Drosophila melanogaster: one gene and its partner. The protein of the gene in region 1 purifies or fractionates together with the protein of each later gene. This does not show direct contact. Each region holds a gene or a part of one and is shown in the gene's direction. Other genes may lie near its edges.

Evidence for each region.
Region 2: the proteins of Bap55 (region 1) and akirin purify together in Drosophila melanogaster (affinity purification with western blotting, with the first as the bait; one study listed by BioGRID). This does not show direct contact.

The regions. Positions count from the first base shown.
Region 1 is NT_033778.4:17,421,445-17,436,983, reverse strand, and holds Bap55 (brahma associated protein 55kD), read left to right. Parts: upstream 1-6,020; 5' UTR 6,021-6,143; coding exon 6,144-6,342; intron 6,343-6,421; coding exon 6,422-7,264; intron 7,265-7,323; coding exon 7,324-7,559; 3' UTR 7,560-7,631; downstream 7,632-15,539. Other genes in the region: EDTP (Egg-derived tyrosine phosphatase), read left to right, coding at 2,009-2,859, 2,926-3,564, 3,629-3,793, 3,854-4,210, 4,276-4,411; Lhr (lethal hybrid rescue), read right to left, coding at 4,820-5,824; Mtap (methylthioadenosine phosphorylase), read right to left, coding at 7,943-7,981, 8,041-8,820, 8,891-8,941; CG6550 (uncharacterized protein), read left to right, coding at 9,563-10,552, 10,613-11,281; l(2)k01209 (lethal (2) k01209), read right to left, coding at 11,398-11,514, 11,572-12,165, 12,225-12,411, 12,479-12,786, 12,850-12,956, 13,021-13,328, 15,038-15,297.
Region 2 is NT_037436.4:7,362,804-7,380,450, forward strand, and holds akirin (akirin), read left to right. Parts: upstream 1-7,039; 5' UTR 7,040-7,265; exon of another isoform or gene 7,266-7,381; intron 7,382-7,536; exon of another isoform or gene 7,537-7,747; intron 7,748-7,996; exon of another isoform or gene 7,997-8,222; intron 8,223-8,903; 5' UTR 8,904-9,031; coding exon 9,032-9,269; intron 9,270-9,359; coding exon 9,360-9,716; intron 9,717-9,777; coding exon 9,778-9,788; 3' UTR 9,789-10,908; downstream 10,909-17,647. Other genes in the region: Sec63 (secretory 63), read left to right, coding at 1-967, 1,050-1,228; Sh3beta, read right to left, coding at 2,443-3,305, 3,359-3,407, 3,639-3,713, 4,756-5,181, 6,087-6,131; SMSr (sphingomyelin synthase related), read right to left, coding at 11,791-12,312, 12,377-12,543, 12,602-13,105. UniProt on the Drosophila melanogaster protein: Molecular adapter that acts as a bridge between a variety of multiprotein complexes, and which is required for embryonic development and for normal innate immune response.

The DNA.
Region 1 (15,539 bases):
GTCGCACTCTGCAGCTTCTGCTGCATTTCTGGTGGCCCAGCATCGGCAGAGTCTTTAAAATCCGGGTTTGTGAGGCGAGCTTGGGTTCCGAGCCAGCCTTTCGGTTTGAGTTTCACTATTTGGGTCAGCGATGATGAAAGCGCCAGCGCCGTTCGTGATGTTGATGATGACGATGGGGCTTAATGATCACCACGCTCGCAAACTATTTTCCGCGCTGTAACTAAACGAGCGCGCGTCTGTTTGTTGTTTTTAAGTTTTACAGCGCCTTTGGAACAGGCGCTCAGTTTTTCAAGCAGCGCTGCTGCACTTACAGTTGCACTTGCTCGCTTACAATGAAAAAACGACAGCGGCAGCAAAAGCAACGAAACAACGGCAACAGAAGCAGTGGGCAAGCAGTTCAATGCACACAACAACAGTAGCCACCCGTACATGTGTGCATGTGTGACTTGACTGCTTTGTAACGGCAGCTTCTCCGACTTGGAGCGCACTCACACTCAAACACTCACTCGCGCATCGGCCATCGATGGGGCTTATATTTTCTTTCCGACAGTCCCATCTCTCTCACACTCATCACCTCGCCTGCTCCCGCTCGCATCATCTGTCAAACAGTGCTGCCGAAAGTAGCTGCATGGAACCTCAAAAGTAGCTAAACTCTTTTAAGACTAGCTTTGGCATTTCGAGCTTTGATATTTGCTATTTTTATTTATTATTATTATTATTTTGATCCGTAGATCCATTTTTCACCTTCGTATTAATAGTTCAACCGCTAAAACAGTGAACGCATTTATCATTAAATTAATTTCCAACACTGTAAGCCAAATACTCGATTAAATTGTAATCAATAAGTATTTAATAAATAGTAAAGCAATAGTAGTTTTGTACTGATGTGTTTTATCTTAAACCTATCGTTATGCAATTCAAAAATGCTAAAAATACAATAAAAGCACCATAAAAAGCGATTGGCTTTTGCGTGTTTCCGTCGGCGTTTTTCTTGGTAATTGTAATTGCGTTTTAGTTGTTTTGCTCGTTCGCTTCGCACTGCGCACTTGTGTGCAGTAGTTTTGAGTCCCCACACACAGACACACATGCGCCCCACTAAGTTTTCATCGGGTTTGTTTTGCTCGCTGCTTCGCTTTTGTTGTTGCCAATTTTTGCGCAGCTACGGCGGTCTTCGTCTTTTTATAGTTTTTGTTTTTCTCTCCTCCATTTGTTTTGCACATTTCTCTCTGTGAGCTAGAAACCTGTTTTCCCAAGGTGTTTGTTTTTGCACGAGTCGTTTTATTTTGAGGCTATATTATTATTGTGCTTTTATCTAGTCGCAGTTGTTTGTCTGGGACAGCTGGCTGGGGGCCACGCCCCCATTCGCCGCCACCGCCCCCTTGCTCGCCTTTCCTTCTATTTTTAGCCAGTCGCCTAAACAACCTTTAGAATTCTTTTTGATTAGCACACAAAATACGTATTATTTTGTTTCTTATGAATTGGTTATACTTGTTGTGAATTTATTACTGTATCTCGATGGTTAATTGGCGTTGTAACTTGGCCATTACCCCCCTTAGCTTATCTGTTTTAACCCTTGAGCGGCAGATAGCAACCAGTCGAAGCCGAACGATCCAGATTCCAGTTCTCCTACCCTGGTAGCGTCCAAGTTCCATTGAACTCGGGTTAGGAATGTCTATATAGTATATGTATACACACATTGCGAATGCATGAAAACCAGTTGCACTCCGCGTTCTAATCTCGCTGTCCATTAAGAAGCGTCTCCGGCATCGCTGATTTATGCAAACCATTGACTTTACACACTGCCCGTCAAATACTTAATGTTTACCCGAAGTGAATGGGTACTAAGGTCATTCGTAAATGGATCCCATTTGTGGCAAGAAAAGTTGCACAACTTTATTCAAACGATTATTTTACCACATAATCCTTACCTATTACATCTACTTTTAGCATATATGTATTATATTAACTCCCTATTCATGGTATCCTGATCTTTTTCCTTTCCTTTTAGGAGTACGACATCTCCAAAAAATGCGAATACCTGTTTAAGCTCGACTACAGCCTAATTGAGCTGGATAATACGAACGGATTGCTCAGTCCGCGATATCCTGGCCGAATACTCATCCCGGAATATGAGCACGGGCACATGGCCAAGACGCTGGTACCGGGAAATGGACTCTTCGGGCAAGTTGGTGGGGGAGTGGGAGGTGGAGGCTCCTCGGGAACAACCGCCACTGCCACGCCTCTGAACAGCAGTGCAGGAAGCACCGGAAGTGAGGGTGTGGGCATCCAAGCCTTTGTGACCTTTGCCAATCCCCTGCAGACGCAACAACAGCATCCGCTCCAGCAACAATATCCCTCGCAGCAGATGCATCCCCTCCACGCGCAATATCCCTCCCAGCAGCCACATCCACTCCAGCAGCAGCAGCAGCAGCCATCGCAACAGCAACCACAAAATACGATATACGAGGATCAGTATGATATCCAGCGAATGCGGGAATTGGTAACGATGGCCAAATATGCGAGATGCCGTCAAAGATTCGCCGTGCCTGTGATTATGTATCGCGGAAAGTACATATGCCGCTCTGCCACGCTATCCGTCATGCCAGAAACCTACGGCCGAAAAGTGGTGGACTATGCCTACGACTGCCTGAGTGGCGGCAATTACACCGCGCCAAACGGAGAAGAGAACGATGCTGACTCCACGGACGAGTCGCTGATCACCCACATGCACGACCAGGCGCAGTCGCAGTTCAGCTACGACGAAGTCATCAAGAGTGACATCCAGCTGCTGCATACGCTCAATGTCTCAACCATTGTGGACCTCATGGTCGAAAACCGCAAAATCAAATACTTCATGGCGTGAGTACACTTTAAGATACCGAGTACAAAACAAAAACTGACCACCTGTTTTTTTTGTTCTTTTAGCGTTTCCTCGTCAGAGAAAGCGGATCCCAACAAGCACTATAAGAGCTTTAACCTTCTATCCCTGCCGTATCCGGGCTGTGAGTTCTTCAAAAAGTTCCGGGACAATAATTACATGGCTCGCAACCTGCACTACAACTGGAAGCAAACGTTCAACGATGCGAATATCAACATTCCCAACATGGGACCCGCTGCGGATATCGATGTGGCGTGGTCGGAGTACCGGGATTGGGATCTGGTGGCAATCACCCAAAACTATTTGAGAGCTACACTGAAATACGTGCAAGAGGAAAACTCCGGCCTGCTGATTCACTGCATCAGCGGTTGGGATCGCACGCCACTGTTTGTCTCCTTGGTCAGGCTGTCTCTGTGGGCAGATGGACTCATCCATCAGTCGCTGAACGCCATGCAAATGGCCTATTTCACACTGGCCTACGACTGGTACCTGTTTGGCCATCAACTTCCCGATCGCCTGAAACGAGGCGAAGACATCATGTTCTTCTGCTTCCACGTGCTGAAGTTTATCACGGACGAGGAGTTCAGCATTGTGGAGCACCGCAAGCGCACCAAGACATCCAGCAGCAGCGGCAGTAGTGTAATAGTAATCAAATCCGATTGCTGCGACGATGAACCGCTCAAGGAGTGAGTATAGCCAAAGACACTAGAATTATAGCCAAGTATTGTAAATGAACAGTACCATTATCAGTCCATTTACTTTGAATTGCAGAGACTACATCCTTTCGTTCGATCAAGATAGCAACGACAGCTACTCAAACTGTTCCAACTGTGATATGTCCATAACAGATAACTTCTATGCCACGACGCCGGCGCAAGTCAATCCGTTGACCAGCAGGTCGCCAAATCCGAAGAGGTTGAACAGCTGAATACTAAAATTAGAAACCTGACTAACTGTGAACTCAACTTGTTTTAGATCTAGAACCAGCCCCATTTCAGTGCCCGGATCAAATGCGCGGCAAAGACAGGAGTCTACATCGTCCAATGGTAGCTGGCAGGTGGTTACCGACACGGGTTCAATTGACTCCATGATGAACGGCAGCTACATGATGCGCTTTGTGGCGCAACAGGCAGCCGATGGTGGCGGCTCCTCAAACATTCCTTTATGCAATGGCGGCAATGGTTACCACTGCAGCATCAATGCAGCATCGAGTGGCAGTGGGAGCGGAAGTGGTAGCAGTATCAGTAACGGCAGCTCGACGCACGGTTTCGCAAACGGTTCCTCCAAAGACGTAGGCGGCAGCACTATGGCCAGCAAGCAATGCATCAACTTGTAAGTTGTAGTCTGATTATTCGACAGCAAATACATAATGACATAATTTTGTTTTACAATTGGAGACGAAAGCAACGCCTGAATGCAGTGCGCGCCATTTTTATACAAGCCTACGGCAAGACGATTGGACTGAAATTCAAGGAGGGCTCATCCATGAACCTGGCCACGTTCATTGGGAACCTGGCGGACCAACTGTTTTGAGAAAGGATTAGCAGCTATGACCGTTTGTTAGATTTCATCAACATTGTTTGTTTCTTGTTAAGTGCTACGCTTTCAACCAACGACTGTATTTATAGACCTGTTAAATTGCGTTCTTTAGTATCTGTTGACGATTGTGTAGTGTAACGGATTACTGATTACCGATAAGCATCGAAAGAACCAGGCGATCGTAGGCAACGAGCAAACAAAATCCTGTCGTCCTTCTGCCCCGGCTAAACCGCTCTCCTGTTCTCTAGGTTCTCCCGCTCCTTGTTTGTTTAGTTATTAGTTCTTCGAGAATGCAAAGCAAGTGAAATATAAAATGCTATTTGGATTATACAATAGTTTTAAGTTGTAATTTATAGTAATGTATTTTTTAATAAACTTATGTGCATTTTATACGAAAGAAAGTCATGTTCTCAGCGTAGGCCGCCTTGAGCGCCGTATTCTAGCTAAGGGTAAATAATCATCAATTTCCACTCGCTTCAGCCGGATGCGACACCTTTTAATGTAGTATTTCGCGCTTTTAAGAGGAACGAAGCGTGGTGTTTCTATCGGTCGTTCGTCACATTTTGTTGTATCTTTAATTTTAGGTTCAATAGCTGTTTCTATTTTGATTTTGACATCATTTGATCCTTTGCAAGCATTATTATATCTGATTCTTTTATTGGCACTTGCGACATTGGGTCTTATTTTGTGTGGGCTAATGCCGAATCTGTCCATGGCCGGACTGAGTAAATTGTCTGCTGGGAGCTCTTTCACCCGTATCGCTTTAAGAAATTCGTCGTATTCGCTCTGAACCGTCTCCAGGTCCTTAGGACCCAGCTTTCGAGTAGCTTTCTCTTGGCGCTCTTGCTCCAGGATGAGGGCGAGGACCTCCACTTCTAAATGCCGGCGTTCCGCTTGCGCCATAGATTTCACGAAAGGCAACTGACTGAGAAGAAACTCCTGACACTTGGTTTTCGGCACATCCGCCGGATTCGGGGCTTGCATGCGAATGTGCACATCGTGCATCACCCGCCACAGAGGTTCAGGGATTTGCCCTTTGGAACCGGCCAAGGCTCTGACCAGCGGGCGCAGCTTCACCCAACGCAGCTTCAGTTCACTTACGGAGAACGGAGTACTCAGCTCAACGTGCTCGTAGCTTTGGTTAAAGGACTTGGCCAGCTGATCCCAACCCCAGGAGTCGTAGTCAACGTCCATTTTGGGCTCCACCTGCGGGATGATAAGGAAGGGATACCGGGCGAGCATCTCCATGAGCAGCAAGTCGTTTAAAACAATCTGGCCGCTGATGTTGGTGTTTGATATGTTAATCTCCAAATGGGGAACAGTGGAATGGATCACCGTTTCCTCGGCGCTGTCGGTACTCATTTTAATATTTTTCGCACTGTGTTTCTCCAACGTTCTACAACACATTTGTGTACTAATTCATCCGTATGTTTTAATATACCACTTAACGGTAATTTCTTTAATAAAATCTATGTTTTTAGAATCCGAGTTTTAATTTGTGTTTGCTAACTAATAGCGATGGAAATTGTTTGAGAACAGCAATCGATAGGTAAGCGACCAAAGCGATAGGTAGGAAAATATTTGGCTTAAACAATCGATAACTTATCAGACCATCTCCAGCGAGGAAGAAGCGTCGTGAAAAAAGCCGCAAAATATACACAGACGGAAGTATTTTCGCGAATTACTTGAACACAACGTGCGAAAAAAATAATCGGAACGCCCCAATATGAGTGGCGGCACCATGCTATATGGCGGCGACGAGATCGGCGCCCTGGTCTTCGATCCTGGACATCATTCCTTGCGAGTGGGCTACGCACAGGAGGATTCGCCCAAGGCGGAGATACCCTCGGTTGTGGGGATTGGAGCAGCTCCAGAGACCAATCTCGATCCGGAAACTAAAACAGACAACAATGCCACGCCAAATAGTTAGTTTCTACATCGCCTTTATTTAGTTTATGGCTTTTAAAAACCCGGAAAAACCGGCAATCCCTACCCCTACTCTAGATGCTGACCAGCGCAAGTTCTATGTGGACACCAACTACGTGACCGTTCCCCGTTCCAATATGGAGGTGCAGACCTATATGAAAGACGGCATGATTGACAACTGGGACCTGTTTGAGAAGGTTATTGATTATGCCTACGCCAATGTCATTCAGTCGGAGCCGGAATACCATCCCGTGCTCTTTTCCGAGGCATCGTGGAATGTCCGCAACAACCGCGAGAAGCTAACCGAGCTTATGTTCGAGAAGTACAATGTTCCAGCCTTCTTTCTGGTAAAGAACGCCGTTCTGGCTGCCTTCTCCAGCGGGCGGGCCACCGCTTTGGTTGTCGATAGTGGAGCCACCCACACCTCGGCCGTTCCCGTCCATGAGGGCTATGTCCTATCCCAGGCGGTGGTTAAGTCACCCCTGGGTGGAGACTTCCTTTCACGACAGTGCCGCCAGCATCTGGAGAAGCACGGCATTGATCTGTCGCCGGTATACAAGATTGCCTCCAAAGACGTTGTTAAGGAGCGCGACAACGGACGCTTCACGCTGCGCAAACTGCCAGAGAACCTAACTCAGTCGTGGCAAAACTACATGTTGCAGCTCATGATGCAAGACTTTCAGATGAATGTGCTGCAGGTCCTAGAAAATCCGTTCGACGAACGGGTTGCTGCTCAAATCCCGACGGTACACTATGAGTTTCCTAATGGTTATCATCAGGACTTTGGCTCTGAGCGGTTCAAGATAGCCGAGAGTCTCTTTGACAATGCAATGCTGGGAGCTGGCCAATTGGCGTCCACCAGTGTGGGCATGTGTGATGCGGATGTGCGGCTGTCACTTTTCGGCTCAGTTGTCGTTACTGGTATGAATTTTCCCTAGGTTTTAAAACTAATTACTTATACCTTAATATTTTGCTCTTAGGTGGCAATACCCTTCTGCAAGGCTTTCCGGAGCGCCTAAATCGCGATCTCCAGCTGCGTGCCCCCTCAAATACGCGCCTAAAAATGATTTCTGCCAATGGCAGCGTGGAGCGAAGATTTGGAGCCTGGATTGGCGGCTCTATTCTAGCCAGCATAGGTACTTTCCAACAGATGTGGATATCGTCGCAGGAGTACGAAGAGGCCGGCAAGAGCCAAGTCGAGCGGAAGTGTCCGTAAGGACAGCGCAATCGAATTCCAATTTTAATTTTAAAGACGCAACTCTATGTAATAATATAAATGTGAAATGTGAAAAGTGTCCCATTATTCAGAAGACATCTGAGCGTTTGTTTAGGAATAGATTGCATTTGATTACGGAAATGTTTTTAGTTACACACATATGTATATATTTACTGCGACGCTGACGCGGACGTTACAGTTTCACATTTCAATGGAGTTTTCACCGGCTGCCTTTTGTCTTTCGGATCTAATTCGTACGTAATGGATATGGAGTGAACTCTGGGTCCTCGCTTTTTGTGGAACTGTTGATAGAGCGGTGGCACATAAATCTTGCGGCGAATCAGCGTCTCTTCTGTTATTTCGTGGCAAAGTTTTATAAATCGTCACATGGCTCCAGACATTGTGTTGTTGCAAACGCATTGCTATGGGCGGAACACATGATGAACTTAGTTTTAAATGATGTTTATCTCGGCTCACTCACCTTGGCATTTAGTATGTCCTCCGACCAGTCCTCCTTGGCAATTCGACCAACAGCGTTGACCAGAATCTTCTTCACCTTAATTACGTTCTCGGCAAAAGTACGGAGGACATCCTGCACGTTGACACCCTCGCAACCCATGCGCCAGCAGTCGTAGTCCGTGGCAATGGCCACCGACCCGTAAAGTAGGCCAGCCTCCTTGGCTAGCACCACTTCTGGACACGTGGTCATGTTTATGAGGTCCCCGCCCCACTGACGGAACATGTGGCTCTCCGAGCGAGAGGAGAAGCGCGGACCCTCAATAGTCACAATGGTGGCCTTATCGTGGGCGGGAATCTCCAGCTCCTTGGCCGCCTGAAGCAGAATGTTGCGGGTGCGTTCGCTGAATGCCGGAAACATGGGCAGGTGGCAAACACCACGTGGACTTTGTGCCTTGCCATCGTAGAAGGTCTGAAGGCGTTTAGTAGTCCTGTCGATAAAGTCGTGTGGAACAACCAGGTTGCCCGGCTTGATTTCCTCGCGCAACGATCCACATGCCGTGGAGACAATTAAGTGGGTGCAGCCCACATCGCGTAGAGCCCAGATGTTGGCCCGGTAGTTAACATTGGAGGGCATGATGTCGTGCTTGCGTCCATGACGCGCCAGGAGTACGCACTGTACTCCATTGATCTCGCCTTCAATCAATGCATCAGACGGTTCTCCGTAGGGCGTCTCCACCACACGTTCCTGCCGCTGTTCCAGGATATCTGGGTCGTCAAGCCCCGAACCGCCAATAATACCAATCTGTGGGTTATTTATAGTTTGGCATTGAACAAAATGGGGTGCTTAATTTTTGGACGGACTACGAACTCACCTTGACCGGAAGCGGGTCCAGATTGGTGTCTTTACATTTAATCGTAATCATGGCTAGCGGAGGATTGTGCTTTTACAAGCTGCTGTTGCGGCAGTCTGGAGCAGAGTAGAATGTTCCCGCTGATAGCGTACTGATAACTGTGTGTCTACACGGTAGGGTGCATAAGCCGCAAAAGCTCGGGCATATTGAAATGACACTCAGCACGTCGTCGTGGGTGTGTAATTATGGTAATTGAATTATGTTTGCAAAATTTTGATTTTAAATCTTATAATAATAGTTATGACAAATTAATATTTATAATTATTCATTTTAGAACAAAACTAATCATTTGATAAAGAATCAAATCAATCAAAATTAAACTAACAAAGCCCTTCTAATTATATTTATTACAACTTATATCCATATCAGTTCCGAATAAAGAAAATAGGAAATTGGAACATGGAATAAATTATTTATTGTATCATTTATATAACAAACTTAATTTGTATGCTTATTTTGTAGGGTGTCTAAATGTGACAGCCGACCCTGTTATCGAGCCGTTAGTCGGGTACCCTACCCGTATGCACTTCACAACACTGCCTGAAGTGAAGAAGAAGAAATCTGAATGTAAACAGCTGGAAGTGCGGCACATGTGTTTTGGCATAGAATCTAAAACAAGGAGAAGGAAAAACAATGTACCACCTTGGACAGGATCTGCCAGGCAACGATGTGGATGATATAGAGGATCTGATATCCGCCGATGATGTCAAGCCGCGTGAGCGCTACGAAAACAAAAAAACCGTTACGGTTCGGGCCAAGAAACGATCCCAAATTCGACTTGAATCTCAAGAGGAGGAGGAAAAGCCGAAGCCCACGATCCACGAGAGTGTCATACCCGGCACCCAGAAAGTTTTTGTGAAAACATGGGGCTGCGCCCACAACAATTCGGACTCGGAGTACATGGCCGGGCAGTTGGCTGCCTACGGATATAGATTGAGTGGAAAGGAGGAGGCGGATCTGTGGCTGCTCAATAGCTGCACGGTTAAGAATCCTTCGGAGGACACTTTCCGCAACGAGATTGAGTCGGGAATGCGAAATGGCAAGCACGTCGTGGTTGCCGGTTGCGTTCCCCAGGGAGCTCCCAAATCGGACTATCTGAACGGTCTTTCCGTAATCGGTGTCCAGCAAATCGACCGAGTGGTGGAGGTCGTTGAAGAGACCCTCAAGGGTCACAGTGTCCAGCTGTTGCAAAACAAAAAGAAGGTCCATGGTCGGCGGGTAGCTGGAGCACCACTCTCATTACCCAAAGTCCGCAAAAATCCATTAATAGAAATCATATCCATCAACTCTGGATGCCTAAATCAATGTACCTACTGCAAGACTAAACACGCCCGCGGTGACTTGGCCAGCTATCCCCCGGAGGAGGTTGTAGAGCGCGCCCGCCAATCGTTTGCTGAAGGCTGCTGCGAGATCTGGCTTACTTCCGAGGATACAGGAGCTTATGGTCGAGATATTGGAAGCTCATTGCCGGAATTGCTCTGGCAACTGGTGGAAGTGATCCCCGAGCACTGCATGTTGCGTGTAGGCATGACCAATCCACCGTATATACTGGAGCATCTCGAGGAAGTGGCCAACGTCTTGCAGCACCCGAGAGTCTACTCCTTTTTACATGTTCCTGTACAGGTAAGGATCGAGTGTAATATATATAAATATTTTTCGATAGTCAATTATTTCTTTTTATAGAGTGGTAGTGACTCTGTGCTGGGCGAGATGAAACGAGAGTACTGTCGGCAGGACTTTGAGCACGTTGTGGATTTCTTAAGGGAACGAGTTCCCGGTGTCACGATTGCCACGGATATAATTTGTGGTTTCCCAACAGAGACAGAAGACGATTTCGAGGAGACGATGACCCTTTGCGCCAAATATCGCTTTCCCAGTCTGTTCATCAATCAGTTCTTCCCTCGTCCGGGCACACCAGCTGCTAAGATGGATCGCATCCCCGCAAACCTGGTGAAGAAACGAACTAAACGTCTCACGGATCTCTTCTACAGCTATGAACCCTATGCGGACAGAGTGGGTGAAATATACACCGTCTTGGTCACAGAAGTTTCACACGACAAGCTCCATTACGTGGGCCACAACAAGAGCTACGAGCAAGTACTGCTGCCCATGCGGGATAACCTTCTTGGTACTCGTGTCCATGTGCGAATTACCAGTGCGAGCAAGTTTAGCATGGTGGGAGAAATTTTAGACGACGAACGCGATTGGACGAGGTGTGCAAAAAATCAGGAGTTACCAAACGTTCAAGTGCAAACCAGGAGTCGGGAAAGACTAATCCAACGCTATTTTGGCATCGCTTTGGTGTTGGGAAGTCTTGCTTTCCTCATACAGCTTGTAGTTCGACTCTTATAGCCACATCAATAAAACATCTCGTTCCAAATTCATAATTTAAGTAACGTTTTGAACTTAACCTAAGATACATTAGAAACTTGATGGTTCCATATAGGTATGGATTGGCCCAGATCTCCTTAGTACTCATCAGAGGGTTCCGTGCCAAAGTAGCGATCGCCAAAGTTACCAATGCCGGGTATAACATAAAACTTACTATTAATCTCCGGATCCAGAGCGGAAGTAACAATTTTCACCTACATAAAGAAGAACATAAATAAATGCCGGCTTTTGGAATTTAGTGTCAATCTCACCTTTGGGAAGGCATAGGCAATGGAGTGCACACCGATCTCAGCCATCAAAAGCGAGGCCAAGATAATGTTGTCCTCGGGTACATCGTGATCCAGCAGCACCCGAATGGCCATCATGGCCGCTGCTCCTGTGGCCACGGTGGCATCCATTAGTATCACCTTGTAGTCTTTTATGTCTTTAGGCAGCCTCAGGTAGTAAAGCTCCGGCTCGCCGGTCTTAAGATTGGTCTGGATGAGGATCTTTCCGATGCGAATGTCCTTGCACACATCACAAACGGCTTGTTCCATTGTTTCACCAGCTCGGAGAATTGAGACGCCGCATATTTTTCGCGATTCCATACGCTTGCCCTCGTAAAGGACACCTTGTGGAGTCTCCACTGTTGTTTTCTTAAAGGGAAATAAGCTTAGCGCATATTCAATGACTAGCCGTATCAGGCGCTTTGAGTAAAAAATAAACTCATCGCGGGACGTATTTCGGCAACGGATGAACGTGTGCAGGCCCTTTATTTGGGGCGTGGGATGCAGCAAGTGCAGAGAATGTGGCATTGGCTGGTCCTTGTAGGAGTTGGCCAGAGTTTCGCGCAGCTTAAATCCGCGCTGGAAGACAGACAGACAAATTAACAAGGTGAACAGCACCGCAAGCAGGCAATTCATACCAGTTGCAGCTGTGTGTGCACGTGCTGAACAATGAGATGGATGGCCACCTTGTTGTCGCCTCCACGAGGAACAATGATATCTGCATGGGCCATTGTTGGAGCTATGTAATTGCAATAGGAGGGCTTAACCATATTAAGGTATTGCTTCAGCACGCCCTTGAGGTCTCGTCCGCGCTGAGAGATGTCCCTAAAATTGAACAATTGATAACAAAATATGATAATCAAGGTAGGCAGAGCCGAGAACCATCACATACCTTCTTAACCGCCTGGCCAGACGAATATCGGGATCTGTGTCCACAAATATCTTCATGTCTAGCAATTTAAGTACTTCAGGACTATGAAAGGTAAGAATACCCTCGAAGATGATCACATTGGCCCCGTACATGGTTTTCGTTTGGCTCTCACGACCATGTGTCACAAAATTATAGACAGGAACTTCCACCTTTCGGCCCTCCTTCAGCTTGGTGAGCACGTCCAGCAGCAGCTCGATGTCGAAGGCATCCGGGTGATCGAAGTTATATTCGTTGATCAGGGCCTGCTCATGCTGTTTCTCATTAAGGATCTACAGGATTAACATAATGAATTCAGTCAATGTATTTCGTCAACTAAATTATAATTCTCCAACCTTGTAGAAACAGTCCATGGACAACAGTGTTACCCATGGAACGTCTAGGCTTTCGATGATTTTCTCAGCCACTGTGGTCTTGCCAGAGGCACTACCGCCGCAGATTCCTGAAGGAAATTAAGCACATTAGAGAGACTAGAAAGATTTGTTTTTTGGGAGTGATGTGTTTACCTATGACGAAGGGCTCCACCTGTTGCCCAGCACAATTGTACCACGGCGGTCGTCCGGCCGTGTAGATCGTGCGGTTATTTGCGCGTATGATGCATTCGGACGGATTCGCTGTGGTGGTCTGGTTGCCAATGGATGTGGTTCGCTGTCTCCTACCGGAACGTTTAAGAGGCGAATCCAACGATGCTTTAGCAGGCACTGTGGTGGGCGAGGCCGGACAGCAGTTGAGATCCCCGGGCAAGCCATTGCTTAGGTCGGCATACGGATCCACATAGAGTTGCTCTGTGACATCCGAGAGTGAACGGTCATCGCTGCAAATAGTACGTATATAGATTAGTTGGCGATTATCAAGTTCTACACTCCCACCATTTAACGATGACGTTAGCCACAAGTAAAATAATTGGAATTCAGTGATTAGCCATGAGATAACATTTTTATCACCTAGCACTGATTAATTTCATAATAATTTTAAATATTTTGATATGTACGAAAGAGTAGATTACAGAACGTGTTAGTGAAATTTCTACCATGCCGTACCAGCTATTGCAATGCAAGCTTAAAGCTATAAGTTCAAGGATGCAGTATACTCACTGACCTACTCTACTTTAACAGCCCCCATCTGCACACGTATTGACACCCACACAAACGCGAGAAACCAGGCATATCGTCGACGTAAAATTAATCTACTGCTCAATATGTTCTATAAATAGACAAGTTACTTGAGGCCTTAATTGAATGTGATAGAAGATAACATCGTTACGTATTATCAGGTTAATTCTTATATGGCTTTCAATGAGAACAGCTAATACGTTACATTTACAGCTCCCTTTATAAATCACGTTGGTATAGCAAAAGTATTGCAGGAATATGCAGTAATATGATATGGGAATATTTGTGATTTGGCATGAAATACGATATGATCATGATGGGTTGATATCTAATACTAGTAAGTAATATCTAGAAAGAAGTTGGCCGTTAAAACAATAATAATAGACAATAACTAGGGCCAAGTACATGCAAAAACACTCATCATACAATTCTGGGAAGATTTCAAAAATAAGAAAACAGGGGCCGGCAGACAAAGCAACGCTAGACGTATCCATTTATCGAATGCTGCGTAGGCGCGTTCGTTGCACTCATTCTTTCCGCCTTTCTCTGTATCTTCTGCTCTTCATTTGCGTACCAAAATGAAATTCACCACACGGAAAGAAAAAACTGAGGATATATTTTTTTAGAATTCTGCAGAAGGTCAAAAAATGTTGTCAAAATTTTAGAACAATATTTATCATAACATAAAAACGATAAATATTAAAATAAGTTTGGGGTACTTGTGATAAAATGTAAATTTAGAAGAATCAAAAATGTTTCATTTTTCTCTCAGTGTGGGGCCAACAATCTGGTGACGCCACAGACGAGATTCCTCCGCATATTTTTAGTTTTTGCACACCAACAAAAGAAGCGAGAGATGAGCGCTTGCCACGTGTGCCGTGCTCTTCCCAAAAAAGGAACCAACAGGTTATGGCCTTCCAGGCGGGTGGGACAAGGACGGCAAGCGGGAGTTTCCTGGCGAGGGAGATGCAGGACATTGGGAGCCAAAGGGAGGCTAAGGGAACTGGAAATGGCAAACGTGGCTCATGTGTGTTGTTGTGATCGCTGCCATGTTGAAGAATCGAGAGAGCACTTGCTGACGCTATCATCGTTTCACCATTTGTTGTTACTTGCCGCGCGGCAGACTCAATAAACAATGTTAAACACAGCAAGCGTTAATTAAACACTGAGAATAGAAAGAGACGTCGCGAAACGGGAGACTGGACAAACAAGCGCAGCACCAAAACAATTAGAATGGCGGTAAATAACACACACAACAGAAACAACAAAAAGCACTCAAATACAAACACACACACACAAATATGCCTCTCTACAAATGAATGTACAAACATACATATATGAACGTCTGGTATGTAAAATGGGACTTCGATTGGTTTTTACGTTAAGAAATGGGGAAAATGCAATGAATTACATGTGACCATTGGTTTTGGCTGCTATAGCCTTAACCTTTGACTGCTGATGATGCTGTTGTTGTTGTTGCTGCTGCTGTTGATGTGGTTGCTGAAGTAGCTGTTGCTGCTGGTGGTTTGCGATGGTTAGTAAACCGGCGGATGCGGCTGCAAATGCTGAGTTCGCTTTTGCCCCTTTTGGAACATCGTTATTGCTACTATTAATGCTGTTGTTGTTGGTGTTGTGGCCCGACTTGCTGCACAAAAACGTGATGCTGCTCATTTTTAGCCCGATCCCGATCTGCCAGCGATTTTGAATCACTCAGTCCGTCGGCGTGGGCGTGAGAACTTGGATGTGGAGGCAGCAAGAACACAGCAACCGGCGATGCCAAGCCAAAATGGGTCACTCACTCACACAACGCTCACGCGAATCGCCGCCGGCGTGGATCACATGTGATTTAGAGTTTTTATTTCGTACGCAGCGATTCACCTTTTGCGTTGCGGCCAATATTTATTCGATAACTA
Region 2 (17,647 bases), on another chromosome or scaffold:
ATGATTATCCAAGGCCTGTGGGAGTTCAAATCGCCACTGCTGCAGCTGCCCCATCTCACCGAGGACCATCTGTACTTTATGAACAAGAAGAGGCACGTCAAGAACCTGCAGCAATTCGCCCAGCTCAAGCCGGAGGAGAGCCGTCAGCTTCTGAAGAACCTATCTGACTTTGAGTACGAGAACACGATGAAAGTGCTGGGCAAGATGCCGCTGATTGACTTCTCCATTCGCTGCGAGGTTATCGACGATGAGAACACCAATGTGGTGACCGCCGGGGCCATAGTTACGGTCACGGTTACGCTGGAGCGCAAGGACATGAAGACGCTATTCGGTGACACAAAGGCGCCTGAGAAGCAGGGCATCAAGGATGAGACCAATGAGGAGGCTGCCGGTGATGAGGATGAGGCTGCTGCCGCTGCGCCGGTCAAGAAGGCTTCTGCCTGGGCCAAGCCACGTAAGGGTGGCAAGGGAAAGGGTGGTAAGAAACCAGCCCAGAACCAAAAGAACCAGAAGAAGGTGCCGGCCAAGGCTGCGACAACAGCTACGATCACGGCATCCGAGGATCAAGCGGCGGCGGGTAACTCCGATGCCGAATCGGAGGCTGGAAATGCGGATGGCAGCGATGTGGAATCGGCTGCCGGCAGTGGCAGCGAGGATGAGGAGAAGGGCAAGAACAACTCCTCGCTGGACGACGACGATGACGAGGAGTGGGAGCGACTGCAAGCTAAGCTTAACAAGAGGGAGCGTCTCGAGGGCAAGTCTCGGCTGTCGCACACCGTCCACTGCCCCTACTTCCCCGAGGAGAAGCAGGAGTACTGGTGGACCTACATATGCGATCGCAAGTCGCGCACCCTGCTCACAGCGCCCTATCATGTGACCAATCTGGTCGAGAAGGAGGAGATCCAGCTGAAGTTTACCGCGCCGCGCTGGCCGGGCGTCTACACGTTCACCGTTTGCCTGAGATCGGGTGAGTTTCTAAAAGAGTTTGGATTGCATAGTACATTGGCATTCGAAGGGGGGATTCTCACACAATGTTTCCTCTGTTTCAGACTCGTATTTGGGTATGGATCAGCAGCAGGAGCTGAAGTTGGATGTACAGAAGGCTCCCGCACCACCGACGGATCATCCTCAGTGGGATCTGAGCGAATCGGAACCGGAGCACACCGATCAGCAGGAGAACCTGAGCGACTATACAACAGATACGTCCGATGAGGAGGACGGCGAATAAATCCACTGTCTACATGGACAGTGCGACGGACGGACGGACGGATGGATAGACGTCCTGAACCCCAATCAACCTCAACCTCCTCTCTAATTCACTGGGACGGAAGAGAAGCCTCTTTGTTTTCCTTTTAGTAAATGAGTTTCGCGTGGCGCGTGGCGGAGGCACACCAATGCGAACCCTTCCTTCGCATTTTTACTAGTTTTGTAATGGAAAAGACCCCGAACTAGTGCGTAAATAACTATAACTTCATTTTACCGTGTACTGTACTAAACATAATTATAATGTACTGTATATTTAATTATTTGGATACAAGAACTAAAAGTGAGACACGTAAATACAAAAGTCTATTGATATTACTACTCTTTTGTTGTGTTATAAACTGAGAAAGAAAAACCCACGGGCTTGTTGCTACTTTCGCTCACTTTAATGCTGAATTAACATAAATTTACTGCACAATTTGCTGAATTTCTAGATTAACATTTTATTCAATTAAATAAATAGCATCACAATTACTTTAATTTAAACCATTCAAGTTATTGACCACGCCTAAACCTTAGCAATTTTTAAGTTTTTTTTTTTATTACATTTTTGCTAAGCCTTTGGATAAACTAATTGCTTACAGCTTTTAGAATTTGAATATATTTTAGCGCAAAAGTAAATTAATTTTGTAATAAATAAAAAACGGTTGTATCATTGTTAGAGTATCGACACATAAAATAATAAATCAGCAAAAACAAGTGAGAATTGCAACAAGCCCGAATAGTTTGTGGAAATCATAAAAATAATTTAAATCAAAGTTGGCGCTGCCTCTGTCTGCGCTGACGTCGACGCCTACTGCGCAGCCGCTGCCCGCTCGCTGTCCAATAAGAGATCCGATTGGGAATCTGAAGTCTTCTTAGCTGATGCTGCTGTTGTTGTTGTGGTCGCTGGTAACTTCTTTCATTGTTGTTGTAGACAGCAGCGAGTTTTTTGTTGTTTGTTTTGGGAAAGGAGTAAAAATTGTAAATAAGTCACATAAAGGCCTAAACTAGGGTTCATTACCCGTCACCAGACTCGTTATTAGTGGGTTCTTGTTTCTATTTACAAAACATTTTTGGTATTATTTGGCTAAATGTGCGTTTTTTTATGTGCGTGTGTGTGTATGTGTGCGTTTTGTGCATTGGTGTTTGTGATGCGGATGTCAGTGCGTTTTTTGTTGTCGTTCAATCGATTTTCTTTTACTCTTCTTCGCTTTCTTCGGAAGAGGAATTCTCGCCATCCGGTTTGCTTTCTTCATTTTCGGGCGTGTCTTCTGTCTTCGTTTCTGCAGGTTTTTCCTCGTCGATTGGTTCTTCCTCTTTGGTTTCCTCTACAGATCTTTCGGCAGTCATAACTTCTTCGGGCTTTTCTTGAGCCTCATTTTCATTAGGATTTTCTTTAATATCTTCAAATTTTTCGTTTTCCGTACTTACAACCTCGGATATTTCAGTACTACCAACTTCCTCGACCTTTTTGTTGGTCTCATTTTCTTCGAATTCATCTTTCACATCCTCCGATTCTACAACCTCATCATCTTCGGTACTTTTAACCTCTGATTTGGTAGCACTATCCGAGTCCGCGGACTCTTCTGTTGCATTTTCCTCGGTCTTTTCTTCAACATCCTCGTCTTTATCATTCTCATTGACTTTGGTGCCTTTGGTGTCATTTTCCTCCGTTTTTTCCTTGGAGCTTTCGGCCTCTGATTCTTCAACGGCATCAACTTCCTCGGACTTTTCTTGCGTCTCGTTTTTCTCCGATTTTGTATCCCCATCATCATTGGTGGCCTCAACATCTGGTTTCTCAGTAGTGTCAGCATCCTCCGATGTTTCTGCGGTCTCCTCACTTCCCTCTAATTTATCTTTAACATCCTCGGATTTTTCAGTTTTATCATCCTTAACATCCTGGGAGTTTTCCTTATCATCTTTTACAATCTCGGATTTTTCATCCTCATCATCTTTAACATCCTCGGATTTTCCAACCTCATCATCTTTGGTACTCTCAACCTCTGATTTTTCCTTGGTATCCACTTCCTCAGACTTTTCTTGGGTCTCACCTTCAGCGTCTTTACGGGGTAGAAATTTTGATTAGAGTCTAGGGACGATCTTCCTACTTTACCTGTAGTTTTCTCCTCCGTTTTCTTGTCCCCAGATTCTTCGGTTTCAGTCTTTTTGTGGGTGGTGGGATTAGGGGTGCGAATGTTTTGTGGGTTGTTGATTGGTGGTTTTTCGTTTTTTTTTTTTTTTTGGGGGGGGGGGGGGTAAAGTGGAAGTTGTATTTACAAGATCAGACAATCGCTAGGCTACTACAGTGCAAGAGATCATGCCTTTGTTAGCTCCTATAAGCTCTAAAAGCCTAGAGTTATGGTTCGGTCATGCAGGATCTATCGATCTATTACCTTTTGCTCGGCATTCTCTTCATCTGCGTCTTCATCCTCGCCCTTTGAATTCTCCTTGTCCTTGCCGTCTTCGTTCTTTAGAGAATCACTCAATTGTTAGTAATGTTTTTACATTACGAAACTGTTTCGAAAAAGTCGGTCTTTAAGGCAACAAAATTGCTCAAGAATATTGAAATTCACCATATTCCTGTACTTTTCGTGAAAAGTTTTTTTCGTCAAACCTAAAGACCAACTTTGGAAAATCTCTCTATAGATATTTGGTATTAAAAAAGCCTTTTTGTAAATTAAGTTGTCACATTCTCATTGTTAAACTAGCCGTTGATAAGTTGGTGTTAGAGTTTGAGTGTGTTGCATAGTGTTAGAAAAACAAGCTTGCGATTGGTTATAGTTTTTTTTTTTAGTTAATACAAATATATTTCCTTTTATTACAGGGGCAGCGCTTTTTTATGTTTTAGCATTAACATAACGGCTGCACAATAAATTTCAGCTCTCTACACTACTCCAACTTAGGCTTAAGTGCTCCGAGTAAGTATTCCGAGTCCTTATTACAGGTGTGTATAAATGGTACATACAAGTTGTTTGGATGTCAGTTAATGAATATAAATATTTTGATTAAAATTGTCTTTTCACCGGGGGCCAACACAATCGAATGCCCTCGTTTAAATACGCTCATGAACTTAGCTTAAGAACCGCAGTAGTCATAATGAATTCGTTAAAAATTGAAAGATCTTCGATTTCATGCTCTACCGATGAAGGTCTAAAAAGTCTCTAAATAAATCTCGTAGTTTTAAAAGTTAGTTTTGTAAATTTTGTATAATTTAAAAGGAAGATTGCACTTCATATTCTGCAATTATCTATACAACTCCCCCAAATCCCTATGGGCATAGAAATCGAAGACGGGCTCCATAAAATATTGATATATGTATGTAGAAAGTTGGTAGTATCTGTGCTGTTAGGTAAACATTGGGTGTTATTTCTGCTGTTAAGTGTAAGGGCTTTAGTTTCAAGACATTGCTGTTGTTGTTAATTCTATTGCTCTGCTGCAGATGATTGCTGGCTGCGTTTGTTGCGTCGTAACAGTTAACGGAAAATACGTGAAAATAGCTCAAGTTCAAACCTCGGCCTTCTCAGCAGCCTCCTCCTTGACATCCACATCGCCATCGCCGGCCTCCGTTTTCTTATCCTCCGCCTCCGTTTCCGCCTCCTCCTTCTTGGCATCGCCGTTCTCCTGCTTCAGTTCGATTTGGGCGGTACTAACTGCCGTGGTGTCGGCTGGAGCCAGCTTGAGGAACACCTCCAGGGTATCGATCTCGTTGGCCATGTCAAAGGCGTCGTAATCACCGCAGTACTCGTCGTCGTTGAACAGCTGCGGAGGAAGCGGATGACGGGGCTCTGGATCGCTGACCGTTCCACCGTTGCTTGTCGATTTGTTTTGCATCAGCTCCTTCTCGGATTCCTTGCCGGGCTCCGTGATGTCCACCGTGTCGTACTTGATGTTCTTGCTGTCCAGGATCATCAGAACGCGCTGCTGGCGCTTCTTCACCTGTAAAATTGGATTTCGACGGTCAGTGAAAGCATTTAAATTTGAAAAGAAAGTTAAAAATTAAAGTATATAAAATACCTTTAACATGTATCGTTTTGTTCAGTGTAGCTACCTTTGACAACGCTGTTAATTACAGCGATGACAAATCGCTAATGAAGTGTTACCGGCAAGCCCAAACGCACACAAGCGCACACAAAGCCAACTCCCCGCCGATATAAACATATGTACGTAAAAAGAACGCCAGAACCACGCGATATGATAAGGCTAATTAAAATGGTTTGTTGCACCCCAGCATTTATCTTACGATAAGAATATGTGTTTCCCAACGCTTTTTTAAAGTGTACAAAGACAGGACAAAAACAAATAATTGTGAACCGTACAATGACCGTTATGTTTTTGTTCTTATTGGAAGAGGAAGATTGCCAATTGAACAAAGGCACCGAAAGAGTGAGAGGGGGAAGTGAATCACCCCTCACGCATGTACACACACACACACATGCACACGCACCCACGCAACTGCGATCAATGGAAATCCCTCTCTTCCATGAACAATTTACAGTTCACAGTGGAATGAGCTTATATGGGCAATGAAATGTATGTTTGTTCTGCTTCTTGCCACCACTAACACTCGCACACAAGGGCACTCACGAAAATACCCACTTGTTTTTCTTTGACTGTACAGACATACAGACTTACATACCACACACTACATCATCATCATTGTCCAACTCACGTACATACACACAAAGACGAAACGCAGCAGAAGAAATAGAATTTGCAATGCGTTCGTCACCACTTTAGTTTGCTTCTTTTCCTTTTTATCTGTTTGTCGCTAATACCAGGGCCAAACATTCCAATAACATGACACTATTTCGGTTTTAAGCCCGCCACGCCCACAAACTCACCTCCTTATTGCCGGACATGCCGCTGACGTAGACTTTCAAGACCATTTTCGCAGATTACTGTGTCCTCGCACCGCAAATGAAATAATATTTTGCAACTAAAATCTGCTGGCTACTTTCACGGCGATTAAAAATATTTATAGATCTTTTCTTTTCCTGCTTTCTTCCGTCCTGCGCCCCTACGTAATGTTTTTCCACTGGTGACGAAGGCACACGCACTGGGCAAGGTCGTTGGTTTTATTGGCTGTAAAAACGGCAAAGACGCGGATAAAAAAATTGCCTGGCGACGCTTATAAAAGTGCAAAAATATTTGATATCAGGAGTGGAAAATATTTCCTACTTTGTCGTTGAATTGAATGGTGGGACCGCGCATTGACGGCTATAGAAAACCTTCCGGCTTATCAAATATACTAAATATGATGCTTGATTAAAATACTAAAAACTTTGAACTTAAGTGATATTTCAAAATTAAATATTTTTAAGACAACTTAAATTTTATTATGCTCCCATGTAAGGTTTTCATTTTTTAAACGTTCTTCGATTAATAATCGTAATAATAAAATAATAATTTATAAAAAGCATAAGATAGGCTTTTTAAGGTTTTTTAAAAGATAGAAGAAAAGGATTCTTATTATAGAACAAATTATTTTTAATTTGGCGTCGATGAGTTAGCGGCTTCAAGGAACGGTGGAATTTAGAACATGAGGGTGTTTTTTATTTATTAATTTTTTGTTACTTGGAGTTGAATTCCATAAAAATAAAAATGCAATAATGCTAACTTTCTACAAACGACTTAAGGTTATAGGACTCAAGAAAGTACATAGAATATGCAATTGAAAAATGTTCTCCCCAGACTTTTCGGTTATTTGAAGTTTTTGCTATATTTGGTAGAACCATAAAGTATTTTTTGGTATAGATCCGTTAGCAGGGCAACCAATATTAGCGGTCGCCATGCGGTCACTCTGTTCACGTCCCGTCACGCAAGCATCGTCGTCCATTTTTGCTAAGAAGCGAGACGAAAATTTGTAAATTATATCTAGCGAGTCGCCGAGGACGAACAACTATTGACAGTGCATTTCAGTGGCCTTTGGAATACTGCTCAAACAACCAGCAAGCAATAACATTACTTATATCTAACCGAAAACCTAAATTAATCACCCAAACTGAAGTACGGACGTGAATGTAAGTGGGTATGTGCCAGCGGACTAGTGGCACAATAAAAAAGTAAATAAAGCGCGTGTGAAGTGGTGCAGAAAGCAAAAAAGCAGTCGGAAGGAAAAATCAAAATACGCATTAATGTAAGTGCGATTGTTGGAAAAGCTGTTTAACTTTTTGTTCCTCTGAAAAGCTGATAATGATATGCGATGCGACCATTTTTAAAATTTCATGAAATCAACATTCCAACTCACAACGGTGTGCGTGTGCGTTTCTTTGTGTGCGTGCGTGTGCAGGCTAGAGTGGGACAACCAGTGTGATCGCTTTGGCTGCTGCCATTTCGTTTGCTTTTTTTTAAACTAATCTCTGGCATTTGTCACGTAAAAGAGTATAACGTTAAACCCAAAAACGTTTTGTATATGGCTTTAAATATTTAATAATTGTGGGCAGAGACAGCAACACCAGCAGCAGACGCATACACACGTGTTGCGGTTTATCGAGAGGGCAGTGTGCGTGTGTTAGTGCGGAAAACAGCTGGTACAGCTGCCGCTGCAGCGACGAAGAAGAAGAAAAGAAAGAAAGGGGAAGAGTGAGAAGAACACGCATTATTATCCTGCGTAGTTTTCTTTTATCGGTGGTTGTTCTGCTATTGGGTTACAGTTTACACTTTTCTCTGTTTTCTTTATTTTCCCTCTGCATTGCTATGCATTTTGCCTTTGCGTGGTGGTTTTTTTTATTTTCATTGTCGGTCGTCCTTTAATTGCGCTGCGCCACTTCGTTTCGTCGCTTTCTTTGGCTGGTTTCTCCTTCTCTTCGGAGTTTCTGGATTCGTATTCCGATTCGGTATCGCCCTTTTCCTGCGACAACAGCAGCTGGGTGCACGGTATCGGAGCTGTCGGCGATAGCCGAAAGAAGCTAGAAACCCCAAGGAAGCCAACATCCTTTTAATTGTCGTGGAAACTATAATAGTCTCATAAAAATTAGGTTTTTAAAATGGTTTTGTCATTCTATTCTAGAAAAAGCTATGAATATAAGAATATAACAATATGTTTAATTGCTTACTAATTTTATTGAACAATATAATTTAATCGTGACGAAATGGGGGAAAAAAAACATTTTTTTGTTGTCTTGAATTTTTTTTCCTCTCTTGTCATGATTATTTAGGTAAAACGGACGTCATCAAAGTCATTAAACTTACGCGAACTTCGCATTTAAAAGTTTTTTACTGGCATTTCTATTTTTAATAGCTTTCTGGGGAAAATATCGGATAATAGCTTTTCAAATTATGCATTGCTAGCAACTTTGACTAGCGAAAAGTATTTACTAAAAATTTTTGTACCTTCCTATTTTCGGCGCTCTTTTTAAGCAAAGGCCCTTGTTTTGTAGCGTTGAAGCCTCAAATTATTTCCAAAATCACGCCCCATAAGCGATAAGATAAGAGAGCGTACAATTGTTGCCCACGATACATACAAGGCGAGAAAAAGTCCAAATTGCCAGCATTGGCGGCCATAAATCGCTGCACCATTTTCTTTTATCGGCTGCGTGTGCGTGAGTGCACGCCTGTGAATCCTGTTTTTTCCTTGAAACCAGTTTGCGTCCGTCTTTTCTTTGCCAGCAAGGTGTTCACTTCACCTTACTCATTCATTGTTTGTTTGCCCATTGCAGCCGACGCTTGATCTTCCATCTGCAGCATCCATCATTTGGAATCGAGGCAATAATCAGCATCTACCGACAATCAAGCAAGCCATCTATCTATCAGAAGACCACCGGGTAGTAGAACCTCAATCATAGCGATGGCCTGTGCAACCCTGAAACGAGCCCTAGACTGGGAGTCGATGAACCAGCGGCCTCCGAAGCGCCGGCGTTGCAATCCCTTTGGCCAGGCTGGGAGCAATGCAGGTCCAGCGTCGCCATCCCGCGACGGTCCCAGCACCTCGGCTGGTCTGCCCCACACGCCCAGCAACCGATTCGCCAAGGATAGCACCGAACCTAGTCCGTTCAGTGAGTCGTCGCTGGCCAAAATGTCACCAGGTTAGTAAATCAGGTCGATGCTGGAAAAGGGACGTCGGATTCCTTTTATGCATATTACCTTAATACACCTTTCTTCTTTTCGAAACACAGACAAAATGGCCGAGAGCTTGTGCAATGAGATCAAGAGACTGCACAAGCGCAAACAGCTGCCGATCACTTCGTCGGCCTTGGAACGCATGCAGGATTCGGAGTCCAGCGGATCGGAGATGGGTCCAGAGAGTCCGCGCCGCCCGGACAGTCCACAGAACCTGATGCGCCACGGCGAAAAGGCCCTGTTCACGTTCAAGCAGGTGCAGCTCATTTGCGAGAGCATGATCAAGGAGCGCGAGAATCAGCTAAGGGAGCGCTACGAGTCCGTGCTGACCACCAAGCTGGCCGAGCAGTACGATGCCTTTGTCAAGTTCACATATGATCAGATACAGCGTCGCTACGAGGCAGCGCCTAGCTGTGAGTTCAAGTTACCATCGGTCATGGTTATAGTGCTAATTACATTATATTTTTATTTCAGACCTGTCGTAAAGCTGTGTACACAGCTGTAGCCTCAGAAAGAAGAAATTAATAATTGCACTACGATCTTATGTGACGGTAGATCTACCGCGACAACAACAGCCCTCATAAACTATAACAAACAACAAATAAGGAAACTAAAGCAAACGCAAAACAAACCAACAAAAAAAAAAAACCTAAAAAGCAAAAAACCTAAAAACAAACAAAAAAAAAAAAACAAACTACAACATACATCGTGTTTAATATATTTTGAAATACACGCGAAGAAAACGGTTATAGTTTATGCCTAGATTTACATATATATATTGTATCGGTTAGCAGCAAAGGGATGAATTATTTAAAAGCAAGCAAAAACCACAAAAGAGAGAAACCAACAAACCAACTTGTTAAATTTATGTTTTTCACATAACGCAAATTCTAAATAAAATGACAAATATCAAATTATGAACTATATGAACTATAAGCACACCGCCACTGCAGACATATACATATGGGTGCATCCGTAGAGAGAACGATTCAATGAAACCTCAAACGTAGCTTCGTACATAACAGACCGACAGAATTGGCAAATATATAATGTTAGGCACATGATGTAGCATATAAGGTATGATGTAAAACCTATCAAACTACATATATTGTTTTTTTGGAAATTGTAATTTATGAAGCGAAGCAACAAAGATAACTCACAACTCATGAAGAACACTTTTCATAGTTTATTTTTGCATATTAGTTGTAACACTAAGGCGAGAAACGAACGCTTGAATTTGCCTATTTTCTCGAGTATCGTTTGTTAATTGTTTCTTCCTTTGATGCGAATTATTGCAAAGTAATGTAAACACACAAAACAATTGAAATGTTTCGATTTGCTTTACACCATACAAAAATGAATAACGAAAAGAAAAGGCAAACAACAAAAAAGGTATAAAAGTTATTCATTAAGTTAAATTGAACGCTTTCTTATAAAATACGCTTGACAGAAGATGTTTCATGTTCATTGCAATTATTTTTTCACACCTTGAAGAATATATACGAGAATATATGATATATATATATATATATATTTTTCAATTACCGCAATCATACATACTACTTTATATTAGTAATTTAAACTTAAAATTAGTAAAGAAATGCCATTTTTATATTAAAACAAACAAAAATAAAATGATGAATTGTAGATGCCCGCTGGTCTTTTCTTTTTAAAGCTTTTTATTCTGTTTGTGAAGCGAACTCTTAATTTCATCCGTTTATAAACCACAATATTCTTTTTTTTATACCAACCCGTATTATCCGAATAAAACTCAATTGGTTCTGGTTGCTCCAAATCCAGCTAATGCTAAATGATTAACCAGGTTTTTCAATATAATTTGCGAATCTAGCAAAACTGCCATAGGTGGGGAAAAGACTGAGCAAAATGAGAGATACCTTTTGTGCAAAACTTTCCATTTGTGAATAAAATTATGAATAACCTTTACAGTGGCTTCTCCAGACTCTGAGAATATTCATTTTGATTTATTTAATGTGTTTGTGCGTTCAACAGAAACTTTCCAAACTTAACACTAGTTAACTAAAAATACGCTTGATTCACATGCTTACAATTACATAATAATGCATTAAAAAGTCTTCAATAATAAATACATTTAGTTCAAAACTCAATTGAACGGAATGAGGAGGGCTATCTTATCATCATAATCAATTCAAAGCCGACGTGGAGCATCTCCCGGCTAAAAAAAACTTCGATATTCATAAAATTCCACAAGTAAACTAAGGAAAGGCTCTTGGGGGACACAACGACTTTCTAAATGGTGGGTGGATGATCTGGGGGGATCTGACCCGGAAGGCACTACAAATGGTAGAATGCTGTCAATAATACAGGGGAGAGCTGTGAAAGGAAGGGGATCGATGGAAATTTCGAAATAAAAATATCAGTCGGTATGGTTAGTTTCTGCATGTTTGCTTTTCGAAGAGCGACATCGATATCGATATACGAATGTGGAAGAGCGAATGGCTGTGAGAATCAGAGATGCTTCTTTTCCTTCATCGGCGAATCCTTGACGTTTTCTGCCTGCTGGACCGCAGCGAACGTCGTGCGCGAAAAGGGATCCACACTCGCATCCCTGAAGGTCTTCTTTTGGGTCGGCAAACTCTTGGTCGGCGCCGATGTAGCTGGTGTGGGTGTGGAGGACCCGGATTGGGCGCTATTCAAATGCGTCTGGCTCCTCTGACCACCCAATCCTCCGATCAGCGACTGGTGAGGACTAAAGAAAGCGGCCGATGCTGTGCCATTGCGCAAACATTGTTCAGATTCTCCGCCAAACATGTGAGCCGATGAATTGCCGGACAGCGGGGCATCCAGCCAGCAGCGCTTCACGGATATGGCCAATTGATCCTTGGCCTTGAAGATCTGCTCAATAATCCCATCGATGAGGGAGCCAAGTGTATCGTATTCATTGGGCACCATTCCATCGACACTGCTCTCGAAGTAGCTAAACATGGGAAACCAAACACGCGTCCTCTTGGAGTCGCTTTGCATGAGAGCCTGTGGAAATAAATTATTATTAGAATGCCCTTTCTAAACAAAAACGAAGCTGTTAAATGCTCACCCTGTTATTTGCTAGAGTATGATAGTACAGAAACAGACGTGAGGTGATATAGAAGGCCACAAACACATCGATGGAGTAGTGCTCGTGGGCAGCCAGGATGAAGAATATGCCAAACATGTTGAGCAGCCAGGTCAGCGTGTGCAGGAAGTACAGATTCCGCGGCGTGTCTGAAAGATCAGAGTGTAAGTCAGTAAGCAGCATAGGAAATATAAATAAATAACACACATTCTGTGATAAAGAAGTTGAGCAGGGTCAAGGCCACCGTGTGACCACTAAACATATAATCGCCGCAGGTCCGCACTCCCTGAATGGACATGCCCAGGCCGCTCCAGATGCGATAGGCTCGTGACATGCGGATAATCAAGGCGCCCACCATGTCCACATTGGGATCATCGATGGCAAAGTCCTTCTGGCTGCACTGCAGATGCGTTCCCGGTACGCTCAGCGACGTGATCAACATGGTGACGCAGCGCAGCAGGAAAACCGTGCCCGCCAGAGCAAAGAATCGCCTCAGTAGGACCAATCTATACTTGTGGAAGGTTAGCACGACCACCCAAATGGTGAACAATAGTGAGCCGGTTATTTCGCACATATTAAAGGCCCACGGAATATGCGGCACGTTGTCCAGGAAGATGTCCGGCAGCGGCGGATAGCGCTTCATATCCGGAACCCGCTCGTGCACAATAACCATTGTTAACGATGTTATCCAGGTGACAACGAACGAGTAGCCTGTTGATGGTACAAAAAATATGATGTTACCATGCGGATTTAGAGTGTGACTAATTTGGCTCAGCAGGCGGAAAAAAAATAGTTATGGAATCGGTCATTTGCAACCATAATCTATAAACTCTCTATATATAATTTCTAAAAACGTTTGTATTTCAAATTGATCTCAAGATGTCGAATTTATGAAGTTGAATCACAATGATGACTAAACTTGAGATATCAGAGCAAATAAACGTATGTACTTTATTCTGATAGTCATCTTTGTTTGTATAATAATTTAGTATATAATGCGGAAACCTTTTAACAAAGAAAAGGAAACCATTTTATTTTCGTATTATTATTGGTAGTGTGTTTGACCCCGTTCCGAAAGTGATAAAAGTGTAATATTTACTACCAAAAGAATTATCTTTCAGCAGCTTTATCTGCCAAAATGTAGACTTATCTATTGAAATGGCCATGACAATAGAAAAACAAGCATAGTCTGTAATGATAAATGCATTATCGAAATAAAAAGCCACTGATAGCAAATTAGCCTAGATAAGCCCATTGTTTCGTTTGAACTTTGATCACTTAAATATTATAACTCAAGTGAAACATTATTTTACAGAACAATCCTTTTTTGAATAATCAGCTAAAACTTGTCAGATAGATAAATAAATACATAACATAATACATAAAATTCAACACTCGATTGGCTACTGTTTTTAGGTTTTCCTTTGCCGTTCAATTTTTTGAAAATTTACCCGTTAAGTAAAACCAGCCGTTTGAAGGGTATCATAAACAAATGGGAATTTGAAATTTAATGCACGCAAAGTTACACAAAAATAACAAAACCAGTTAGCCAGAATGAGAGGCATATGAGTACACAAATAAATGCGAGCGGCGTCTACACAAATAACCTCCGAAGTGCTCAAAATAAATAATAGTAACGCGTCGCCAGTGACCAGTAAACATTATTAAACTTAGAGTGTGACGTATCTCTAGAAGTCATAGCTAATGAACCCATGAACTCGAAGGTAAATTCGTTTACTTTCGTAGAATAGGTAGTAGTACAGAAACTATAAATGGGATTTAATGACGTATGGTCTGATTAAACATTTATAACACGCGTGACATTGAAACCATTATTATTGGCCTATCGCTGAGGTAGTGATTGGATTGAGTGATATACTCTAGAATTAGATTTACTAATTAAAGCAATGTTTCTCACATGGAAAGCGTTTATTTCTGGTTACAGAATTTTAGAATTATTAATGCTGGCAGACATGACAAGAACTAAATGTTTAATGTTTAAAAAGATCAAAGTGTGATATGTATGATATTTTTTCGTAGCTTGTTGGGATTATTAAGGCAAATGATAGCAAAAGTCTGATAAAATGGAGCAGAGGTTTATATAATATATTATTTCCTTTGAAAGTTAACTGCCATATGCCAGAGCTTCTTATCTAGATATGCATATGTATATAGTGACGTATTTGGGTGGTCCAAACCAGCCACTTCCATTATTTCAAAGAAATCAGTAATGCACTCTAGTAATTTTCCATAACGTATCCCAGCTGCGCAGCATTCGTTTATCTTTGGCAGCGCAGCCGTTCTTGTAAACATCCTAAAGCCTGACCTAAGCAGATTTGACTGCCCTCTTTCAACGCTACCTAATCTTAAGAACCCAAGAGCGAGGCTCTCCCGAAATACAAATATTGTTCAAATACTGAGGCTTCTCCTCAATCCAATTTGCATTTGATTTTTAGTCTTAAGCTGAGATCCAAAGAATAAAGTCGTGAAACTATTTCTCCTAAAAACTATTTTTTATTTCTTGGCGTTGTCCTTAGTCAACTGACGGGACATTAGTTCGACTCATAAATAAAACAACAATTTTACTGGCGCAGTCGGTAGGATACAAAAGTATCCGAAAAAAAGAACCTTCGAGTGGAAAATAAGTTAAATTTTATAGTCCAGTGCTCGAAACATCTCCCAAAATAAATTCGTGAAAACTCTTCAACTTGGATTATAATTCCAATTCGGTTATCCAATAATAAGTGGAAGTGAAATACGAAACAAAAATATTAAGTCCAAAGGCAACTAAGTTTTAAAACCAACATATAAAAATAAAAAATTAAAACAATATAGAATTTTAATAATACAACACAAAAATTTACAAAACAAAAAAAAACAAACAAGTGAAACTAGAAAGCTTAAAAATAATAATAACATTGAATCCGAAACAAAACAAAAAAATAAAACACAAAAGTTAAAAATTTTACAATAAAAATGTCACAACCAATTATTGCGCTGAGCGACATAAACCTTGCCGAAGCCCGTCGGCAGCTTAAAGACATTATGCCATTCAAGGGTGATCCAGAAACCCTTCACACCTTTATCAGCAGAGTGGATTACGTAATTTCGCTCTACCAAACAAATGATGTCCGACAACAGAGGATTCTACTGGGAGCCATCGAAAGGAACTTGGACGGACAAATTACACGATCTTTGGGACTTCCGAACATCGAAGATTGGCCTACCCTTAAAGCAAGACTCATCGCGGAATTTAAAATTCAAACACCAAACTACAAACTTCTGGAGAACTTCAGGGAGACACCATACAGAGGAAGCCTAAGAGCATTCTGCGAAGAAGCGGAGAGACGACGTCAATTACTAATTTCGAAACTACACCTGGAAGGCACCTGGTACCCGATAACACTATTGTTTATACTGATCACAGCTGTTCATGGACAACAAATTCAAATTAATAATATTGACACCAACCACGGATATCTCCTTTTTTCTGATAAGCCAGTACAGATACCATCCTCCTTTGAACATCACTCCTTAAAAATCAATTTAACTGAAATAGACATCGTGGTTGACTATTTTGAGCAAAGACTACGAACCGATTACCATGCACCCCAGATCAATTTTTTATACAATAAAATAAAAAGAGAACTAGCCGGAATAACCCTGAAACATAGAAACAAACGGGGTCTTATTAACATTGTGGGTTCAGGTTTTAAATACCTATTTGGAACACTAGATGAAAATGATCGAGTCGAAATACAGAAAAAACTTGAAATCAACGTCCATAACTCAGTAAAATTACATGAACTCAACGACGCCATACGATTGATAAATGACGGAATGCAAAAAAATACAGAATTATGAAAATAACCACACCATCATTGACAGTCTTTTGTTCGAACTAATGCAGTTTACGGAATACATAGAAGATTTGGAAATGGCTATGCAGCTTTCCAGACTTGGACTGTTTAACCCCAAATTACTAAACTACGACAAACTTGAAAATGTGAACAGCCAAAACATTTTGAACATTAAAACATCCACTTGGATTAACTACAATGATAACCAAGTATTAATCATATCCCACATACCCATTTACCTTTCACTAATAAGCACAATTAAAATAATTCCTTACCCAGACTCCAACGGCTATCAGCTAGATTACACAGACACACAATCATATTTTGAAAAAGAAAATAAAGTTTATAATACCGAAAATAAAGAAGTAAAAAATGAATGTGTCACCAATATTATTAAACACTTAAATCCAATTTGTAATTTTAAGCCAGTACACACGAACGAAATAATAAAATACATAGAACCAAACACAATTGTAACCTGGAACTTAACCCAAACAATTCTTAACCAAAATTGCCAAAATTCAATTAATAAAATAAAAATAGAAGGAAACAAAATGATAAGAGTAACGCAATGCAAAATAGAAATCAATAATATAATTTTAAGTGAAAATCTGTTAGAACCAGAAATAGATTTGACACCACTATACACACCACTTAATATAACAAAAATAAAAATTGTAAAACACAACGACATTGTTGAGATGATTTCAGAGAACAATATTACACTTTACATACAAATGATCATTGTAATAATCGCACTAATTTTGTTGTACTCATATTTAAGATATGTATCATTTAAACCATTTATGATGCTGTATGCAAAACTTAAAATAAGAAAAAATCAAAATCAAAACACACCACAACAAACAGAAATAGAAGAAACTCCATTTCCCACACTATATCCATCAATCCCAGCCCAAGTATAGGCTTCTCTTTAAGGGAAGGGGAGTGACGTATTTGGGTGGTCCAAACCAGCCACTTCCATTATTTCAAAGAAATCAGTAATGCACTCTAGTAATTTTCCATAACGTATCCCAGCTGCGCAGCATTCGTTTATCTTTGGCAGCGCAGCCGTTCTTGTAAACATCCTAAAGCCTGACCTAAGCAGATTTGACTGCCCTCTTTCAACGCTACCTAATCTTAAGAACCCAAGAGCGAGGCTCTCCCGAAATACAAATATTGTTCAAATACTGAGGCTTCTCCTCAATCCAATTTGCATTTGATTTTTAGTCTTAAGCTGAGATCCAAAGAATAAAGTCGTGAAACTATTTCTCCTAAAAACTATTTTTTATTTCTTGGCGTTGTCCTTAGTCAACTGACGGGACATTAGTTCGACTCATAAATAAAACAACAATTTTACTATATATATACTACATAATAGTCATACCCATGG